Anolis sagrei: one gene and its partners. The protein of the gene in region 3 interacts with the protein of the main gene of each other region in a biochemical or structural test. Links are inferred from orthologs where the notes say so. Each region holds a gene or a part of one and is shown on either strand. Other genes may lie near its edges.

Region 1 (7,595 bases), on a different chromosome or scaffold from region 3:
CTGCAAAAAGCAGCAGAAGAGGAAGAGGAAACCACAACCTTTCGGCTTTGAAAACATCCAAAATCAAGTAAGAGCCAAGGGCAAGAATAACATGTAATAATAATAATAATAATAATAATAATAATAATAATAATACACTTGGGAAGTGTCGTGTGATCCAATACAACCGCCAACATAGTGATCTTGTTTGCTGTGTACTAATCTTGTTGTGTTTCAAATAATAATAATAATAATAATAATAATAATAATAATATTAAAAAAAACAGTCAAGGTGGTCCCAGCGGTGATCGGAACACTGGGTGCAGTGCCTAAAGACCTTGGTCAGCACTTGAAAACAATCGGTGCTGACAAAATTACCATCTGCCAGCTGCAAAAGGCCATCTTACTTGGATCTGCACGCATTATTCGCCGATACATCACACAGTCCCACACACTTGGGAAGTGTCTGACGTGTGATCCAATACAACAGCCAGCAGAGTGATCTTGTTTGCTGTGTCCTAATCTGGTTGTGTATCTAATAATAATAATCGTTCCCAAGACTTCACATGGCCACAATGTATATATACATACACACAAACACATAAATGCACACACACACACACACACACACACACACACACACACACTGTATAATAGTAATATACATAATAAATAATAACACTACTATATAATATAATAACGGCAATAATTATCATTATATTGCTACTAATAATAAATATAATAGTAATAATAGTGTTCCCAAAAATTCACATGGCCATAATTACACACTCACACACACACACACATCTATCTGTATCTAACTAAATAATAAAGTCAGTGTTCCTATGTATGCGGCGGTGCGGGTATGTGGCAGCTTTGTGATTGGCTGCCATTTCCATAGGCTACTGCGACCCCCCACGATTGACGGACCTGGACCAAACTTGGCACATGGTTTAGGGGAAGACAGACCATGGATGATGGGATCTGCAGTACTTCCAAAAACGTAAGCTTTCAAAGACCACTGCGACCCCCACCAATGACAGATCAAGACCAAAGTTGGCCCACTTTACAACCTGGTGTAGTTAGAGGGAGGATGGACCATGGATAATGGGATTTACAGTCTCTTCACCCAATTCACTTCCCACAGAACACTGTGGTCCCCAAAAATCAGAGACCTGGACTAAACTTGCCACTCAGACCCACCATGACCCACTTTAAATCCTGGTGAGGTTTGGGGGACATAGGTCAATGGATGATAGGAGATGCAGTACCTTCACTCACTTCCTGAAACCACTACAAGTCCCAATAATGATGAATCAGGGCTAAACTTGGAACACAGAGCCCCCGTGACCCACTCTACATCATGGTGCAGTTTGGAGGAGGATGGACTATGGATGATGGAACTTGCAGTAACTTCACTCACTTCCTGAGACCACTGCAACCTTCACCAATGCCTGATCAAGATGAAGCCTCGCACACTGAGCCCTCATGACTCACTCTACATCCTGGTGCTATCGGGAGGAGGATAGACCATGGACAATGGGACATGAAGTACCTTCACTCATTCCTGAGAGCACTTTGACCCAAACCAATGACTGACTCAGACCAAACTTGGCACAGAGAATCCCCATGATCCACTCAATATCCTGGTGTGGTTTGGAAGAGTTTGGACCATGGATGATGGGACTTGCAGTATCTTCACTCACTTCTTGAGATGACTGCGACCCACACCAATGACTGATCAAGCTCAAACTTGACATACAGAGCCCCCATAACCCACTCTACATCCTGGTGTGGTCTGTGGGATGACGGACCATGGATGATGGGACTTGCAGTACCTTGACACACTTCCTGAGACTACTGTGATCCACACCAATGACTGATCAAGACCAAACTTGACATACAGAGCCCCCATAACCCACTCTACATCCTGGTGTGGTCTGTGGGATGATGGACCATGGATGATGGGACTTGCAGTACCTTGACACACTTCCTGCGACCACTGTGATCCACACCAATGACTGATCAAGCTCAAACTTGGCATACAGAGCCCCCATAACCCACTCTACATCCTGGTGTGGTCTGTGGGATGACGGCCCATGGATGATGGGACTTGCAGTACCTTGACACACTTCCTGAGACAACTGTGATCCACACCAATGACCGATCAAGACCAAACTTGACATACAGAGCCCCCATGACCAACTCAACATCTTGGTGTGGTTTGGACAATGGGACTTGCAGTACCTCGACACACTTCCTGATACTAATAAATAATATAATCAATAAAATAACAATAGTATCATAAAAATAATAATAACAATAAAAAGAATAATAAAGATAATATGAAATGGGACTGTTGTGTATTAATGCTCCCTCCCCACTAGACCATATAAGCTATTTGTATACTAATAAATAATAAACAGAATGTTGTTTTGACGATAGATAGACGATAGACAATGCAGGGAGCGTATGAGTATGCAAAAAAACGTGCACGCCACAATTGTTATGCAAATATATGCAAATAAGGTGCACACTTCCTGTCCTTACTATATATATATATATACACACATGCAAAAAAGGTACAATTAGACCAATCTATGTAACTAAGATGCACACTTCATGCCATTGCAATACACACACACATATATTAGCATGCAAAAAAAAATTGACAACCACCATATCAGATGCACACTTCATGTCATTACAATATATATATATATATATTGTAATGACATGAAGTGTGCATCTGTTATGGTGGTTGTCAACACACACACACACACACACACCAAAAATGTACAATTAGACAAATCTATGCAAATAAGATGGACATTTCATGCCCTTGCAACACACACACACATATGGATGCATAAAATATTGCAAAACACTATGATAATGTACATCTATGCAAATTAGATGCACATACTATTATATATATGTGTGTGTGTGTGTGCATGCACCTTGGCAAACCCCCTCCCTTTCAAGGCTAATGAAGCCCCCTCCCTCTCTCCCTCCCCGCAGTGGTGGGGGTGTGTCCCGGCCCCCGACCTGTCGCGCGCCGATCCCGCACCTGCGCCGCGTCCTCTGCACACAAAACCAGGCGGGGAGCGGGCACAGCCAGCCCCCCCCACCCCTGCGGAGCACAAGCGCTCCTGATTGGCCTGCCCCGCTGGGCTTATTTGCATGCTTAAAGGAGAAGCGGCCCTATTTCCATCCCGCTATTGGCGTGCGCTTCTGCGCAGGCGCGTACAGGCCTGCCTTACATTGTCTTGTGTTTACATTTATATGCCGCCCTTCTCACCCCGAAGGGGACTCAGAGCGGCTTACAAGATATATTATACATACAATATATTATATTATTAGCATAGTACAATATCAGTATGATATATTACTATATCATACCATACCATTATATTGTAATATTATTAGTAATATAAAATATATAATTATAATATTACATTATTATTAGTATTATATTGTATTACATTATATTATAAATATTATATGTATATACATTACATTACATTATAAACATCTATCTTCTATCTATCTAGCTTTCTATCTATCTTCTATCTATCTTCTATCTATCTATCTTCTATCTATCTATCTAGCTAGCTAGTATCTATCTATCTTCTATCTATCTATCTAGCTATCTATCTTCTATCTATCTAGCTATCTATCTTCTATCTATCTATCTATCTTCTATCTATCTTCTATCTATCTATCTTCTATCTATCTAGCTATCTATCTTCTATCTATCTATCTATCTATCTATCTATCTATCTATCTTCTATCTATCTTCTATCTATCTAGCTATCTATCTTCTATCTATCTAGCTATCTACTATCTATCTATCTATCTATCTTCTATCTATCTTCTATCTATCTAGCTATCTATCTTCTATCTATCTATCTTCTATCTATCTATCTTCTATCTATCTATCTATCTATCTATCTATCTTCTATCTATCTAGCTATCTATCTTCTATCTATCTATCTTCTATCTATCTATCTATCTATCTTCTATCTATCTTCTATCTATCTATCTATCTATCTATCTTCTATCTATCTAGCTATCTATCTTCTATCTATCTTCTATCTATCTAGCTATCTATCTTCTATCTATCTATCTTCTTTCTTTCTATCTATCTATCTATCTTCTATCTATCTAGCTATCTATCTTCTATCTATCTTCTATCTATCTAGCTATCTATCTTCTATCTATCTAGCTATCTATCTATCTTCTATCTATCTATCTATCTATCATCTATCTAGCTATCTATCTTCTATCTATCTATCTATCTATCTATCTATCATAGAATCAAAGAGTTGGAAGAGACCTCATGGGCCATCCAGTCCAACCTCCTGCCAAGAAGCAGGAATATTGCATTCAAAGCAACCCTGACAGATGGCCATCCAGCCTCTGCTTAAAAGCTTCCAAAGAAGGAGCCTCCACCACACTCCGGGGCAGAGAGTTCCACTGCTGAACGGCTCTCACAGTCAGGAAGTTCTTCCTAATGTTCAGATAGAATCTCCTCTCTTGTAGTTTGAAGCCATTGTTCCGCATCCTAGTCTGCAAGGAAGCAGAAAATAAGCTTGCTCCCTTCTCCCTGTGGCTTCCTCTCACATATTTATACATGGCTATCATATCTCCTCTCAGCCTTCTCTTCTTCAGGCTAAACATGCCCAGCTCCTTAAGCTGCTCCTCATAGGGCTTATTCTCCAGACCCTTGATCATTTTAGTCGCCCTCCACTGGACACATTCCAGCTTGTCAATATCTCTCTTGAATTGTGGTGCCCAGAATTGGACACAATATTCCAGGTGTGGTCTAACCAAAGCAGAATAGAGGGGTAGCATTACTTCCTTAGATCTAGACACGATGCTCCTATTGATGCAGGCCAAAATCCCATTGGCTTTTTTTGCCGCCACATCACATTGTTGGCTCATGTTTAACTTGTTGTCCACGAGGACTCCAAGATCTTTTTCACACGTACTGCTCTCGAGCCAGGCATTGTCCCCCATTCTGTATCTTTGCATTTCGTTTTTTCTGCCAAAGTGGAGTATCTTGCATTTGTCACTGTTATTGTAATATTATTAGTAATATAAAATATATAATTATAATATTACATTATTATTATTAGTATTATATTGTATTACATTATATTATAAATATTCTATGTATATACATTACATTAAGGTAAAGGTAAAGGTAGTCCCCTGACATTAAGTCCAGTCGTGTCCGACTCTGGGGTGTGGTGCTCATCTCCATTTCTAAGCCGAAGAGCCAGCGTTGTCCGTAGACACCTCCAAGGTCATGTGGCCGGCATGACTGCATGGAGTGCCCTTACCTTCCCGCCGGAGCGGTACCTATTGATCTACTCACATTTGCATGTTTTTGAACTGCTAGGTTGGCAGAAGCTAGGGCTGACAGCGGACGCTCATGCCGCTCCCCGGAGTTGAACCTGCGACCTTTCGATCAACAAGCTCAGCAGCTCAGTGCTTTAACCCACTGCGCCACCGGGGGCCCCACATACATTACATTACATTATATTATAAACATCTATCTTCTATCTATCTAGCTATCTATCTATCTATCTTCTATCTATCTTCTATCTATCTATCTATCTATCTTCTATCTATCTATCTTCTATCTATCTTTTATTTATCTATCTATCTTCTATCTATCTATCTTCTATCTAGCTAGCTAGCTATCTTCTATCTTCTATCTATCTATCTATCTTCTAGCTAGCTAGCTAGCTATCTTCTATCTAATCTATCTTCTATCTATCTATCTATTTTCTATCTATCTTCTATCTAGCTAGCTAGCTAGCTATCTTCTATCTAATCTATCTTCTATCTATCTTCTAATCTATCTTCTATCTAATCTATCTTCTATCTATCTTCTATCTATCTATCTTCTATCTATCTATCTATTTTCTATCTATCTATCTTCTATCTATCTATCTATCTATCTATCTATCTATCTATCTTCTATCTAGCTATCTATCTATCTTCTATCTATCTTCTATCTAATCTATCTTCTATCTATCTAGCTATCTATCTTCTATCTAGCTATCTTCTATCTATCTATCTATCTATCTTCTATCTAGCTATCTATCTATCTTCTATCTATCTTCTATCTAATCTATCTTCTATCTAATCTATCTTCTATCTATCTAGCTATCTACTATCTAGCTATCTTCTATCTATCTATCTATCTTCTATCTAGCTATCTATCTATCTTCTATCTATCTTCTATCTAATCTATCTTCTATCTATCTAGCTATCTATCTTCTATCTAGCTATCTTCTATCTATCTATCTTCTATCTAGCTATCTATCTATCTTCTATCTATCTTCTATCTAATCTATCTTCTATCTATCTAGCCATCTATCTATCTTCTATCTAGCTATCTTCTATCTTCTATCTATCTTCTATCTGTCTGTCTATCTATCTATCTATCTATCTATCTATCTTCTATCTAATCTATCTTCTATCTATCTTCTATTTATCTATCTATCTTCTATCTATCTATCGATCTATCTTCTATCTAGCTATCTTCTATCTTCTATCTATCTATCTATCTATCTATCTATCTATCTATCTATCTATCTATCTATCTTCTGTCTAGCTATCTTCTATCTTCTATCTATCTATCTATCTATCTTCTATCTATCTATCTATCTATCTATCTATCTTCTATCTATCTTCTATCTATCTATCTATCTATCTCTCTATCTATATTCTATCTATCAGTCTTCTATCTATCTATATAAATGCTCTGTGCATAATGAGTTCCCTAAAAACAAAAGAACCAATAAACAAAATCACACCAAATTTGGCAACAAAACGTCTCACAACACAAGGAGTGACCATCACGCAAAACATTATGATTTTGTCATTTGGGAATTGTCGTTGCTGGGATTTATAGTTCACCTACAATCAAAGGGGATTCTGGACTCCACCAATGATGGAATTGAACACAGGGCTCCCATGACCAACAGAAAAAACTGGAAGGGTTTGGTGGACATTGACCTTGAGTTTGGGAATTATAGTTCACCCACATCCAGAGAGCACTGTGGACTCAAACCATGATGGATCTGGACCAAACTTGGCACGAATATTCCATATGCCCAAATATGAACACAGATGGAGTTTAAGGGAAATAGACCTTGACATTTTGGGAGTTGTAGTTGCTGGGATTTATAGTTCACCTACAATGAAAGAGCATTCTGAACTCCACCAAAGATGGAATTCAACCAAACATGGCATACAGGACTTCCATGACCAACAGAACACACTGGGAGGGTTTGGTGGGCATTGACCTTGAGTTTGGGAGTTGTAGTTCACCTACATCCAGAGAGCACTGTGGACTCAAACAATGATGGATCTTATTTATTTATTTATTTATTTATTTAAAAGGGTCTGGACCAAACTTGACACAAATATTCCATATGCCTAAATATGAACACAGATGGAGTTTGGAGGAAATAGACCTTGACATTTGGGATTTGTAGTTACTGGGATTTATAGTTTACTACAATTAAAGAGCATTCTGAAACCCACAAATGACAGAAATGGGGCAAACTTCCCACACAGAACCCCCATGACCAACA
Region 2 (7,973 bases), on a different chromosome or scaffold from region 3:
TCAGAGTCGAACACAACTAGCCTTAATGTCAGAGGAAACCTTTATCGTTACATAATAATAATAAATTTGACAGTGTAGCTGCAACCTTAGCAATATAGCACCCTTGCGTCTCTATATTTGGAAAAAGACAGGATAAAAATAAATAAACTAAATCAGTATAAAAAATAATAATAAATTTGATGATGTAGATGCACCCTTACCAATACAGCACCTAAGTCCCTATACCACAGGCATGGGCAAACTTCAGCCCTCTGGGTGTTCTGGACTTCAACTCCCACAATTCCTAACAGCCTATCAGTAGGCTATTAGGAATTGTGGAAGTCCAAAACACACAGAGAGCTGAAGTTTGCCCATGTCTGCTATATCTGGAGAAAGGCAGGATAAAAAATAAATTAAATTAAATACATTATTATTATTAATTTGACCATGTGGCCCAGGCATGGACAAACTTCGGTCCTCCAGGTGTTTTGAACTTCAACTCCGGCTGATAGGAATTGTGGGAGTTGAAGTCCAAAACAGCTAGAGGATCGAAGTTTGCCCACGCCTAGTGTAGATACACCCCTAGCAATACAGCAGCCAAGTCCCTATAGCACAGTGTTTGTCAACCTGGAAATCAGGACCCCTGGGGGGAGGGTCGCAAGTGGGTATCAGAGGTGTTGCCAAAGACTATCAGAAAACACAGTATTTTCTGTTAGTCATAGGGGTTCTATGTGGGAAGTTTGGCCCAATGCTATTATTGGTGGTATTCAGAATGCTCTTTGATTGTAGGTGAACTATAAATATCAGCAACTACAACCCCCAAATGTCAAGGTTTATTTTCCCTAAACTCCGCCAGTGCTCACATTTGGGCATATTGAGTATTCATGTCAAATTTGGTCCAGGTCCATCATTGTCTGAGTACAGAGTGCTCTCTGAATGTAGGTGAACTACAATTCCAAAACCCAAGTTCAATGCCCACCAAACCTTTCCATTATTTTCTGTTGGTCATGGGAGTTCTGTGTGCCAAGACTGGTTCAATTCCATTGTTGGTGGAGTTCAGAATGCTCTTTGATTGTAGGTAAGCTATAAATCCCTGCAACTACAACTCTAAAACGACAAAATCATGCGCCCCCAACCCCACCATATTCAAATTTGGGCATATCAGGTATTTGCGCCAAATTTGGTCCAGGGGATGAAAACACATCCAGCGTATTGTGATATTTGCATGAAAATTCATAACAGTAGCAAAATTACAGTTATGAAGTAGCAACGAAAATAATTTTATGGTTGGGAGTCACCACAAAATGAGGAACTGTTTTAAGGGGTCATGGCATTAGGAAGGTTGAGAACCACTGCTATAGCAGAAGAAAGGTGGTGGGACAAAATAATAATAATAATTGAAAAAGGAGATAGAGGGCCTGATTCTGGCAGCCCAAGGACAAGCTATTAGAACAAATGCCATCAAAGCCAGAATTGAAAAGTCGACAACAGATCCCAAATGTAGAATCTGCAAGGAAGCAGATGAAACAATAGATCACATCCTCAGCTGCTAAAAGAAGATCGTGCAGACAGACTACAAGCAGAGGCATAACAGATGATTCACTGAAACCTGTGCCACAAATACCATCTAACTGCAACAAAGAACTGGTGGGATCACAAGCCGGAAAAAGTTACAGAAAATGAACACGTCAAACTCCTCTGCGCCTTTTGTATTCAGACAGAGTTTTGGAACACAATACTCCCCTTTTTTCTTTTCTTTTTTGGCGCATGAACTGCTATTATAGATCAGAACCACAAAAACGTGGATACCAAAACAGATGTACCAGCTATGGAAACTTGAATATCCAGATTCAAGCTACTCTCGGACTTCCGGATTCAGACAGAGTTTTGGAGCACAATACTCCTGACCTCACGATCGTGTTAAAAAACAAAGTATGGACTGTCGATGTTGCAATCCAGGCAACAGCAGGACTGAAGAGAAACAACTGGAAAAGCTGACACGATATGAGGATTTAAAGATCGAACTGCAAAGACTCTGGCACAAGCCATTCAAGGTGGTCCCAGTGGTGATTGGCACACTGGGTGCAGTGCCTAAAGACCCTGGCCTGCACTTAAACACGATCGGCGCTGACAAAAATTACCAGCTGCCAGCTGCAAAAGGCCACCTTACTAGAATCTGCACACATTATTCGTCGATATATCACACAGTCCTAGACACCTGGGAAGTGTCCGACGTGTGATCAAATATAATAGGCAGCAGAGTGATCTTGTTTGTTGTGGACTCATCTTGGTGTGTTTCAATAATACCATAAATAACTAACAAAAATAGCAATAATTATTTTGAAGTAAATCAAATGGTTCTCTAGATGATGCAGAATAGATGCCCCCTTAGAGAGACAGCATCCAGGGGGAAAGGAATTGGCTGCCAAAAAAAAAAAAAAAGCATGAGAGAGACATGAGCTGCTCTGAGGAAGGAAGGAAGGAAGGAAGGGAAGGGAGGAAAGAAAGCCAGTTAGTTGGCAACCTTCCTCCAAAAAAGGAAAGGCAAGAATACCTCAGCGAACGAACCGAAGAGGAAGCCGGGGCCTAGCCCTTCTGAGAGGGAGGCCACTCCTGAGGGAAGTGAGGACACCGTCCGAGGCCTCCGGGGCCGAGAGCGAGGAGGACTTGGGGCGGAGGTCGCCTGCCTCAGCCCTCCGCCTTCCTTCCTTCCTTCCCTCAGGGCTCCTCGCCCGCCTGCATTCCTGGGCAGCCCCCTTCGCTCCGGGGCTGCTGCTGCTGCTGCTGCTTCTTCTCCCGCCTTGGCTTCTTCACTCCCTTCTTCCCCTCAAGACGCCCTCGCTCTCTCGCTGGCTCCTTTATCCCTTCCTTCTTCCCTCAGCGCCTGAGGCGAGGCACCTTCGCCCTCTTCCTCTCAATTCCTCTCTCTCTCTCAAGCCCGGGCCTTTCCCCGCCGCCCTTTCCCCTCAGAGCGGCCCCACCCCGGAGAGTTCCCCGGGCCCACTCAGCCGGCCGCTCGTTCGCTCGCTCTCACCTGCTCCCCGCAGCCGCCTGCCTGCCTGCCTCCCTTCAGCGCCTCCTCAGCCGCCAAGCCGCCCGCGGCCGCCCCCTTCCCCGACGCCCTGGCAACAGAGCCCGCCTCCTTCGCCTCGCTCGCCTTCCCCGCTCCCCGGTTGGCTAACTCGGAAGCAGTTCCTCGTCGCCATTGGGCAGCGGGGTACGCCTGTCAAAAATTTGACCCCGCCTCTTTTTTCAGGGCGTTTTGATTTACTCCCGAGCTCCCTCCTCGCCCGCCCGCCCTCACCTCCTCTCGTATTGGTTCAAACTCAAGACGCGATGGCTGGGATAGGTCGAAAGAGGAGACATCATGGTATATGTCCCCGCCTCCTGGTACAGGTTGGACTATAAGTACCCCGCACGGTTTGGTTGCACGGTAGAGAAGGCAGAAGTTCAGAAAACTGGGGAGTTTGTCAGGGCATTTCCACATAGTCATAAAGTCACCCAGACTATCAAGGCAGAAAACTTCACAATATCTGCTCTGAATTGTAATATATGGCAGTGTGGACTCAGGGCCTTTCCACACAGCATATCTCCTTTGAACTGGAATATATGGCAGTGTGGACTTGGGGCCTTTCCACACAGCCATATAACGCAAAATACCAAGGCAGAAAATCCCACAATATCTGCTTTGAACTGGGTTATATAGCAGTTTGGACTCAGGGCCTTTCCACACAGCCATATAACCCAGACTGTCAAGACATAAAAATCCCACAATATCTGCTTTGAATTGGAATATATGGCAGTGTGGACTCAGGCCCTTTCCACACACCTATATAACCCAGAATATCTGCTTTGAACTGGGTTATCAGAGTCCACACAGCCATATATTCCAATTCAAAGCAGGTCATGTGGGATTTTATTCACATGTGTGGAAGGGGCCTCAGAGTTCCATCTATATATTGTCAAGCTCAAGCAGTTCCTGACACCACTTTGACTGCCCTGGCTCAAGGCACCAGTACTCTCTGGCAGAGGAAGTTATCAAGATCTTGCAAACTACAACTCCCATTATTCCATAGCATTGAGCCATAGCAGTTAAAATTGTGTCAAATTGCCTTAATTCTAGAGTGTAGATGTACTTCCTGTGCTGATGGGAAAAAAACGCATTTGTCTTCAAGTGCCTCAGCTTGATGTTTTATCGTCTTACGTTGTTCTCACAATACTGCATGCTAAACAATGTACGATTGCATATATGTTACATTCAAACTAAGACTTTTGGGATCTTCTGAGAATCATGGAACTTGGAAGTTGTCTCTAGAAGTGCCACAGTCCCCCTTGAAGTGGAAAACCACGTCTCTGAAGCCTTTTGATCAACCAGCTGAAATTTCTTTCTTGGCAGCTAAAATTAATTCTCATTTTTTCTGCTGCCATTTCCTTTAAAGGGATTTGACCCTATCCATCTACTTTTCACTATCCTAACAAAAGGGAAATGGGCAATTTGAAAATTTAATTGCTGTAGTGAATTATTAAAAGCCCTAGTGATTGATGAAAGCTGTGTCAGAACGTATGATTTGTGAGATGAACTGGGCCATTAGCATGAGATCTGCTGCCTTTTTGCTATTTAGGTCCACTACGACTCAGATAATAATCAGCTGCTCTGCAAAACACAGCAAATGGGATTCAGTTGCCTTCAGGGACAGCACTAGGAAGAGCGGAGGAGCACAAAATTGATATCTATGTGTGAATCTACACTGTAGGATTAATGCAGTTTAACACCACTTGAACTTCCCTGGCTCAATGCTGTGGAATCCTGGGAGCTGTAGTTTGGGAAGGCTTACTTTACTTACTTACTCAGGCAACCCCTCGTTGTCTGAGTAGGATAGTCTTCCAAGATCAGTGTACTGGCAGTGGGTCCACAGGTGGCTATGAGCCCTATTCTTGATCTGCATCTTCTCCTTCAGTGAGGGCACTGGTTTCCAGGTGGAAGGCGGTCCCAGTCGGGGTTGGCTTGACGCATCTTCCTCTTGGCAAGTTTCTCTCTTTCGCCCTCCATTCGTACCTCTTCAAATTCTATAGCACTGCTGGTCACAGTTGACCTCCAGCTGGTGTGCTCAAGGGCCAGGGCTTCCCAGTTCGAAGTGTCTATGCCAGAGTTTTTAAGGTTGGCTTTGAGCCCATATTTAAATCTCTTTTCCTGCCCATCAACATTCCGTTTTCCGTTCTTGAGTTCGGAGTAGAGCAACTGCTTTGGGAGACGGTGGTCAGGCATCCGGATAACATGGCCGGTCCAGCGGATTTGATGGCAGAGGACCATCGCTTCAGTGCTGGTGGTCTTTGCTTCTTCCAGCACGCTGACATTTGTCCGCTTGTCTTCTCAAGAGATTTGCAGGATTTTCCAGAGGCAGCGCTGATGGAATCATTCCAGTTGCATGTGACGTCTGTAGCCAGTCCACATCTCGCAAGCGTATAGCAGGGTTGGGAGGACAATAGCTTTATAAACAAGCACCTTGGTATCCTTATGGATGTCCCAGTCCTCAAACACTCTCTGCTTCATTTGGGATGGCATCAGTGCTCCTTAGCAGAGAAGGCTAAAGGCCTTGTCAAATTGCAGCTCCCGTGATCCCATAGCACTGAGCCAGGGCGGTTAGGGTGGTGTCAAACTGTAATAATTCTAAAGTGTAACTGCACCCTTCATTATGGTAATAGAAGACCAAGTGCATAATTGAAAACTGACTGATGAGATCTGAGCAATGTTAATGTTTGAGCTGCTCTTTCTAAGCATCTGTCAGTGGTTCTCAACCTCTGAGTCCCCAGGTGTTTTGGCCTACAACTTCCAGAAATCCCAGCCAGTTTACCAGCTGTTAGGATTTCTGGGAGACGAAAGCCAAAACATCTGGGGACCCACAGGTTGAGAACCACTGATCTAAGTGTCTTCTGCTCTAGTTTTCTTTCAATGTTTCCCACAAGGTTTACACCTGACTGCTGGGGATACTTCAGATTTTTTAAAAAGACAGCCCAATCTGGAATTAGATCTGCTTCTGATGTTATAACAGGCCCTACAATATGAAAGTAGCAGTACAATCCAGTTATTGAAAGCCTCTTCCTGGAGTATTTCATACACAGAACGAGTCCTGAAGTAGGCAGTGCTCCAAATGTTTCTGCAATGTAACATTTGGCTTAGAACTATTTATGTGCTGATTGTTGTAACAAAAAGACACAGGACTGTATGACTGGCATGTAGGCATTTGATTTCTGCAGCCACCAAGAGAAAAAATGTGACTGTGACATGTATAAATGCGTAAAACACGTGTATTGACAAATGCTGATAAGTATCTGATGAAGAAAAGAAATGAAGAAAGAGCTGCTGTCATGGTGAACAAAGGAAATTTGTAAGCAAACACAAGAAAGAGAAAGCATATCACCGTGTAAGTATGTACATGTCTACTCAGGATACATTTACACTGTTAAATTAATTCAGTTTAACACCACTTTAATTGTTATGGTTCAATGCCATGGAATCATGCAATTTGCAGTTTTGTGGAGTACCAGCATTTATGGCAGAGAAAAATTACAGCTCCTGTGAATCCATGGCATTAAGCCTTGGTAGTTAAAGTGGTGTCAAACTGCATGAATTCAACAGTGGTACTCAGAGGTAAGCTTAATTGATTCAACAGGACTTGTTCCCACGTATACAGAACTGCAATCATGAGAAATCAAGAGGGTATATTTTTATCCTTGGCTGTTTTGATTTAATAGCAGAAGTGAAAAGAATATCTGCATTTTAGCACTTAATGCTTTAAGTATGGTATTATCTTAATTTGCTAAAACAGAAGATAAATGGACAGTGTCAAGTACGATTAGTTTTCACTTTTCCATGTGGCATTACGCCCTTTTCCAATTATGTTCATACATGTTTATGTTCTCCCACACTTGCATCCCAAAGCCCTTTTTGGATAGCATCCCTAAACCTGTTCACTCTCAAACAGGCTGTTACTTTAAGATAAAATTGATGGTACTAGAATAATTTTTAAATGGTTATACTTTAAATTTTCCCCCTCCACCCTTCGTATTTAAGCCTATTTCTTAGTTGGTATTCTTTAGCTGAATCAAGGGATTAATTATCCTAATTGCAGAATGCTGAGTGGGATCTTGTTTTTGCTGACAGGAAAATTCAGATAAGGCATTGAGCTTTAAACCTGCATGCCAACAAAAAAGACATTAACATGTGTCATGGTGTGACCTCAGCGGTGATATATTACAGTAGCTGTAGTATGAATTGAGATTATTATCACAAGTTATAGAACTTCAGCAGAAATTAGGTGAATCTGATATATTAATAATAGGTGAAATTATTTTCAGTTTTTAAAATGCCTTCTCAATATATACAGTATAGTAACTTTTAATTTTTAAAAGTATTTTTCCTGTACATATCTGCTTTTAATGAGGAAGAGGAGGCATGGGATAATACAGAATGATTGACGGAAGAAAAAAGGAAAATACTTCAACTTGTACATTGATAATTCTTCAAAAAGTTCAATTTGGAAGATCTTCATCTTTTTTAAAAAAAAACCCTCAGAGTAGAAACAAAATTCCAACACTAGCAAAGTTTGAGACTAGGCGATTTAGTCCTAGCTTCTAATTACGTAGGTTTGTTCATTACTGTGTGTTAGGAGTTCAGCACTGGGAGGAACAATAGAGTAGTACTCAGTGACTGAAACTAGGAATTGGATACCTGAAAGGCTGTTTGTCTCGGTTTAGGCCTGTCGGCATATTAAAATCTGATTTAGCTTTCTCATGATGCCCCCACCATCCTAGATGCAGTTAATAGCTACAACTAAAAAAACCCTATTCAGTTGTGGCATTACAGCTGTGGAATGCTCTCTTCTGGGAAAATTATTTGGCTTGTATTTCAATATGATTTTGACCCCAAAGCCTTTCAAATTTCCCAGGCTTTTTCATTTAATTCATATTGCTTTCATGATACTTGTGTTGATTTT
Region 3 (7,122 bases):
TGGCAGTGGGGACTCAGATAGCCCAGTTCAAAGCAGATACTATGGGATTTTCAGCCTTAATATTCTGGATTATATGGCTGTGTGGAAGGGCCCTGAGTTAGGCCTGTAATTGTTCCTCCATGAAAACAGCACCAAATTCTTATTTACACAAATATAAAGAACCCCAGGAGGTACACATAGAATAATGAGGATTGCATAAATACACAGCACCTACACAAGTCATTATGACTACATTTCCTGTTTTTATCTAAAAGACTAATTAACATGAAAGGCAGCAATCCTGCCTTGGCATCTTCTTATCCCAGTCCAAACACTGGTGCTTTCCTAGTCAAGAAGGATTTTTACACATTTGAATTGAAGTGGGGCTTCTGTGCCACCAGAACTTATATATTAACATTCAGACCATCATGTTCCAAAAAGAACTGGAGAAATAAGCTATTCAAGAGTTACAAAAAACAAACCTAAGTTTCACCTTTGACTTTTTCTGTTCTCTATGTAACACACCTAGCTTGTTCTGAGGCTTGTGAAGGTAAGTATTTACAAAGAGAGAGAGACATTCACGGGACAAAAGTGGCTTAAAAAAGAGTGTAACACAGAGCAAGAAAAATATATGTATCTCTTAGGAAACAGGCAATGTACACAAACTTTGTTTCATGTACAAAGCTATTAAAATATTGTTTATAAAATTGACTTCAGGTTATAGGAAACATGAATGAATGTCACATTTAGACTTAGGTCCCATCTCCAAGCTATCTCTTTATGTGTATGTAAATATTCCAAATTTGGAAGCACTTTGGTTCCAAGCATTACAGATAAAAGACCTTCAACCTATCTTACAGTGTATTTACACTGTAGAATGTATAGTTTGACACTACCTTAACTGCAGCAGCTCAATGCTATAGTGTACTTTGGTAAGATACCAGTGGTCTTTGGAAGAATAGGCTAAAGGCCCTATAAAACTACAACTCTCATTCCACAGCTCATAAGTATGGGGCTCAGTATTTTCGCCACTGGACATGAAGGGTTATGGTAAGTAGTAAAGTAAGTAAGTATGGTGGTTAAAGTGATATCAAACTGCATTAATTCTACAATGTAGATGAGAAAGTGCATGGACGGGTCAACTCCTGGGGCAATCCAGAAACACATTTGCTGCAGTATAACAACTTTGGTAAGGGTGCATCTCTACATCATAGGATTACTGCAGTTTGACATTACTTTAACTGCCAGGGATCAATGCTATGGAAACCCAGGAGTTGTAGTTTTACAGGATTTTTGCACTGCTACAGTAGTTAAAGTGGTGTTAAACCATACCCAGTCTACAGTGTAGAACTGTAGATGTACCCACAGTACAGTACACTTCGAAAGCAACATCTAGGGGTGAATGTACTGTGGAATTAGTACAGTTTGACACCACTTTTAACTGTCACGGGAGGTATAATTTTGTGAGTGGCTAGAAAAGGCTAAAGATCTTATGAAATGACCAATCCCATTATTTCATAGCATTGAGCATTAATAGTATAAGCCCCCTTCCTTACAGCTGAATAAAATCCCACATTATCTGCTTTGAACTGGAATATATGGCACTGTGGGAGGGCCCTAAGTCTGCAGCGTATATGTATCCCTAGAGCGGTGGTTCTTAACCTGTGGGCCGCAGACCACCAGTGGGCTGTGAGGACGAAAATCCGATCCGCGAACCTTTCCTCTTTATTTATTTAATTTTTGCTCCTTTTGCACCGCCTGCCACTCCTTCCCTGTTGTTCACCATGGCACATGTTCTGTATCAGAAACTAGAGCTGATGTGGTCTGTTCAATGCAATTTTCTGAATCACCACCCCAAACCGAATCTAAAGTTGACCATAAACTGACTTGTAACTCCTTTGGTACTAATGTCGGAGAGTGGCCCCGGTCAAAGCGATCCCTGGTCAAAAAAAGATTGATAACTATGTCAGGAGCGACTTGAAAAACTGCAAGTCACTTCTGGTGTGAGAGAATTGGCTGTCTGCAAGGACGTTGCCCAGGGGGCGCCCAGATGTTTTGATGTTTTACCATCCTTGTGGGAGGCTTCTGTCATGTCCCTGTATGGGGAGCTGGAGCTGACAGAGGGAGCTCATCCACGCTCTCCCCAGATTTGAACCTGCGACCTGTTGGCCTTCAGTCCTCAGGGTTTAACCCACTGTGCCATCGGGAGCTCAGTACTGCCCTAGAGAGATGAGAATACTATGGGGTCCTGGGAAGGGTAGTTTTGCAAAGTTTTGAGCCTTCTCTGCCAGAGAGGGGCTGCTGTCTCACCAAAAAACTACAACTCCCAGGGTCCTTTCCCGCAGGCATGGGCTAACTTGGGCCCTCCAGATGTTATGGACTTCAACTCCCACAATTCGAAGGCTGTTAGGAATTATGGGAGTTGAAGTCCACAACACCTGGAGGGTCCTGGGGCAGGCATGGGCTAACTTGGGCCCTCAAGGTGCAGTGGACTTCAACTCCCACAATTCCTAGACAGGAATTGTGAGAGTTGAAGTCCACACCTGGCGGGCCCTTCCACACAGCCCTATATCCCAGAATATCAAGGCAGACAATCCACCATATCTGTTTTGAACTGGGTTATTTGAGTCCACACTGCCATATATTCCAGTTCAAAGCAGATAATGTGGGATTTTATTCAGCCCAAGTTTGCCCATGCCTGCTATATACCAAGACTGTACAACTGCTACAGGGCTCACGATGCAAAACTACAGACTCCGTGGCAGTTGAGAGAGGTGGTTGTAAGATAAGGGCCTGGAAGAGGCAGGCCGCGTCAAAGGGGAAGGGAGGGAAACACAAAAGCGGGGGGGGGGGAGGAACCGGGGGGCGGGAGGAAGCCTTTCCCTCAGCCAAGGGCCCCTCCAGAGGGTTTCCTTTTCCGCCCTCCCGCCTTCCCCACAGTCACCTGCGTCAAGGAGAAATGCGTGGCCATGCTGCTTCCATCCTGTAGCTCTCCCCTTCGCGGAAAAGCGGAGCAAGGCCCGGCCCTCCGTCCCTCACTCTCTGCCCAACTTCAGCAACTTCCCGAGACGCCCCGGACAGGCCCCGCCTCCCTGCCTTCCTTCCTTCCCTCCCTCCCGGCAGCCTCTCCGGAGCAGAGCCGGCCTCCCAAAGCTCCCCAGGCTCAGGGGGAGCAGTGTTGTGCGGCTCCTCTCTGCTGCGGCCTAGCGAGAAACTCTCCCACCAGGCCTCAAGCTCGCTTCCTAAGGCGTCCTCGCCACTTTCTTCAACTATGAGGAATGGAACCTGAATGGATTTCGTACACAGTGTCCCTCTTGGAGCCAGAAAATAGTAACTCTATCTAAGACAATGGTTCTCAACCTGTGGGTCCTCAGGTGTTTTGGCCTACAACTCCCGGAAATTCTGGGCACCACAACTGAAGAGAGATACTGACAAGCTAGAATGTGTCCAGAGTAGGGCCACTCAAATGATCAAGGGTCTGGAGAACAAGCCCTATGAGGAGCGGCTTAAAGAGCTGGGATTGTTTAGCTTGCAAAAGAGAAGGCTGAGAGGAGACGTGATGAGGGCCATGTATAAATATGTGAGAGGAAGTCATAGGGAGGAGGGAGCAGGCTTGTTTTCTGCTGCCCTGGAGACTAGGACGTGGAACAATGGCTTCAAACTACAAGAAAGGAGATTCCATCTGAACGTTAGGAAGAACTTCCTGACTGTTAGAGCTGTTCAGCAGTGGAACTCTCTGCCCCGGAGTGTGGTACAGGCTCCTTCTTTACCAGCTGTTAGAATTTCTGGGAGTTGAAAGCCAAAACATCTGGGGACCCACAGGTTGAGAACCACTGACCTAAGACCTCATTACACTAGAGCAGGCCTAGGCAAACTTGGGCCCTGCAGGTGTTTTGGACTTCAACTTCCACAATTCCCAAAACAAATCCGGCCCAGCTTACCTGTTTGAACGTATCTCTCCTTATGAACCATCTAGGAACTTAAGATCATCAGCTCTTATTCCCACCTTCGCAGGCGCATCTGGAGGAGAGGAGAGACAGGGCCTTCTCAGTGGTGGCCCCTCTGCTGTGGAATTCCCTCCTTAAAGATATTAGATTGGCCCCCTCTACCTCCTGACTTTCTGTAAAAAAAAACTGGCTCTGAACAAGCTTTTGGAAATACAGCATAATAGATAAACATGGAACTATGAAAGAGTAAACATGGAACGGCTTAGACGATGCTACTGGAAAAATGAGTCTTAACAGGAAGACACAGGCAATTATATGTTTTAAAGGGTTTTTTGTATGGATTTGTATAATGTTGTGCTTTATGTTTTTTAATTGTATTTTATGACTGTTGTGGCATCAAATTGCTGCAAATTTGTAAGCCGCCCTGAGTCGTCTTCGGGCTGAGAAAGTCAGGATTGAAATACTGTAAATAAATAAATAAATTCCTAACAGCCTCAGGCCCCTTCCTTTTCCCCCTCAGCTACTTAAGTTGATATAAATAGTATCAATCCCACTTACAATCCAAATGCTAAAATCAAAGCAAACAGATCAAAAGAACAAATCACAATACATAGAGAAAATAATCCTAATAAAATATATTACTTATAGCTCATAACTCCAGTCAGTATATTTTCTTGCTATATATATACACACACACATATATATCTCTCTCACACACTTTGGATATCTCTCATGGGGATTCGGTGGCTTACAAAATGAAGGCAGTCATTTGATGCCTCAAAAATAATAAGCAATAAATTGAATAATAAATATATAATATAAGCGTTCTATCATAAAACAAATCATAATAAAAACAAATAAACCACTTTCCACAACAACAATCGCATGTGTTAAAAGCCATATCCATAGAACAGTCCTTATCAGTCAAAATTTTGCTTATGGTAGAAACAAGGATTGGTGAGAAAACTCCAGTGGGGACACCTTTTCTCCATGATGATAACTTTCAGGAGTAAATTTCCCTTGCAAGGGGTAAATTTCTCTTACTTCCTGTTGTCTCATCCCTGTTCTTAACTAGCCCTCTCTAGCTAACGCTATGCTCTCACCACTAATCTCTATGAGGGGCTTTCCCCCTCCATTGTCACCCCTCAAAATCAAATTGCCCCCCTGTGGGACATGTACCCCATTGTTGGGAACTAGGGGGCTGCTCTAAATTATATGTCCTTTAATGGGAGAGAATGGCCTTTCATGAGTTTTGGTATGTTGTAAAACCAGTTTCTGCTTAATACGCCCTCCGGACAGTACTGACATCCCTCACATTAGATTTGAAATATATAACTATGGAGTTTGTTTCTAAAAGGTACTAAATCCATATGAAAAGTTAAAGGGATTTTTTAAATGTCAGAAATGACTTGAGAAACTGCAAGTTGCTTCTGGTGTGAGAGAATTGGCCGTCTGCAGGGATGTTGCCCAGGGGACGCCAGGATGTTTTAGCATCCAGTGGGAGGCTTCTCTCATGTGCCCACATGGGAAGTTGGAGCTGACGGACAGGAGCTCACCCCATCTCATGGATTCAAACCACTGACCTTCAGGTCAGCAGTTCAGCCGGCACAAGCGTTTAATCCATTACGCCACCATAGTCGCAGATAATAAAAATCCCTATACCAAAGTGATTTGATATATCTTGCTAGTTTTGATCTGTACTCCTAGCCAACAATGTGCTGCTACCCATAATTCCTTTTAATTTTTCTTTTTTTCTTTTTTCTTTTTGGATTTGGTACCTTTTGGAAAGAAACACTACAATTATGTTCATGATATAAGATACATGAAATAAGAAGCAGTCGTGGTTCCTAATTCTGAGATGTCACAACATGTGTTTATATAATGCAATATTCATGATAATAAGCACCAAGAAATTTTATTTTTAAAGCAAAATTAAAGCTGAGATTTTCTTTTCAGACAGTCAGATCCTGGACTAATGACATTCTTCCACTTGTATGTATCTATTCACATTGTTCAAATTGCTCCAAGTGACCTATTTATCAAGGACAGGTTTTATTTTCTGGTATCTGTCCTTGTTTGATAAAAACCATCCTTTTTTGCCGTTGGGAAGATATTTTTCATTAACTTTTAAAGTTAATGCACAAATTTGTCCCCCGCCATTCATAAATAATTGAATGCCTCCTGCAATTATTTGAGTTGCAGTTATTTTCTTCCAAAAAAAAAAAAAACCTGACCCAATATACCAGTAGTATTATTTACCATTCTGCTAAATACTCCTTAGCTGCCATGACTCACTGTTATAGAATCATGGCAGATGTAGTTTGGTTAAGCACAAACACTATTTGGCAGGGAAGACTAAAGAAACTACAACTCCCAGGAGTCCATAGTACTGTGCTATTGCTATTAAAGCAGTGTCGTGTGGCATTACTTCTATAGAATCACCTTACTGGCTAGAGTGTTTAGCTGTGTATAGCTGTGGAGGTAACAGGAGGGGTTTCAGGAAAATACCATAAGTAAAGGTATTACATGTCCTCAAACTATCCCTATTTTTATCTGAGAAATGCTGGAGAGTCAGATCTATTTAGACTAGGGGTGTATGTGCAAATATTTCACGTTTATTGAACAAATCACACTAAGATGAAAGAATTGCTTTGTGAGAGCAGTTAGCATATTTAACTCAAGGTTGCTCTCAGAAGTTGCTACACACATAAATTAATTCAACAAATGTGTAAGTCCGAAGTATAATTGCGGCTTGTACACTCCACAAAAAAGGGCTCTGCCAAAAACAGAGCACTGAAATGTTGCCGCAAAAGAGTAAATATGTCAATTGCTTTGGTTTGCTTGATTAAAACAGTTTTATCGCTGTTCAGCACAAATTTATATTCAAACTAGCTGCCTTCTCAGACTCTGCTATGTTTATAGTCAAGCTGTAGTAGGCCAAATTAGTCATAGTTGATTGAAATGGGTCGTCAGTTCCCTACATATACTTTAAATTTAAATTAGATAGGATAAGTGCACACACACAGGAACAGCAGAATTCACTATCTTATTGAGTGTATTCTACCTTCAGAGTCAATAATCATTTGCAGCAATACATAAGAAAGACCTTGTTGTCCTCATATGCAGTTTTGAGAGTCAAAGGCAATGTGAGATGGAAAATAGGACTGGAGGTTTCACATGTTGGTTTTAAGCAGTT

The links. The genes of interacting proteins can lie anywhere in the genome.
Region 1: the proteins of EPS15 (region 3) and FCHO1 form a complex in vitro, tested with the Homo sapiens proteins (2 studies listed by BioGRID). The link is inferred for Anolis sagrei from reciprocal best matches to the Homo sapiens genes EPS15 and FCHO1.
Region 2: the proteins of EPS15 (region 3) and NUMB form a complex in vitro, tested with the Homo sapiens proteins (2 studies listed by BioGRID and IntAct, with this or other methods). The link is inferred for Anolis sagrei from reciprocal best matches to the Homo sapiens genes EPS15 and NUMB.

The regions. Positions count from the first base shown.
Region 1 is NC_090034.1:62,482,821-62,490,415, forward strand, and holds the start of FCHO1 (F-BAR domain only protein 1), read right to left. Parts: upstream 3,098-7,595; 5' UTR 3,028-3,097; intron 1-3,027. UniProt on the Homo sapiens protein: Functions in an early step of clathrin-mediated endocytosis. Has both a membrane binding/bending activity and the ability to recruit proteins essential to the formation of functional clathrin-coated pits.
Region 2 is NC_090021.1:286,265,568-286,273,540, forward strand, and holds the start of NUMB (protein numb homolog), read right to left. Parts: upstream 3,098-7,973; 5' UTR 3,014-3,097; intron 3,008-3,013; exon of another isoform or gene 2,534-3,007; intron 1-2,533. UniProt on the Homo sapiens protein: Regulates clathrin-mediated receptor endocytosis. Plays a role in the process of neurogenesis.
Region 3 is NC_090024.1:174,235,363-174,242,484, reverse strand, and holds the start of EPS15 (epidermal growth factor receptor substrate 15), read right to left. Parts: upstream 3,076-7,122; 5' UTR 2,951-3,075; coding exon 2,924-2,950; intron 1-2,923. UniProt on the Homo sapiens protein: Involved in cell growth regulation. May be involved in the regulation of mitogenic signals and control of cell proliferation. Involved in the internalization of ligand-inducible receptors of the receptor tyrosine kinase (RTK) type, in particular EGFR.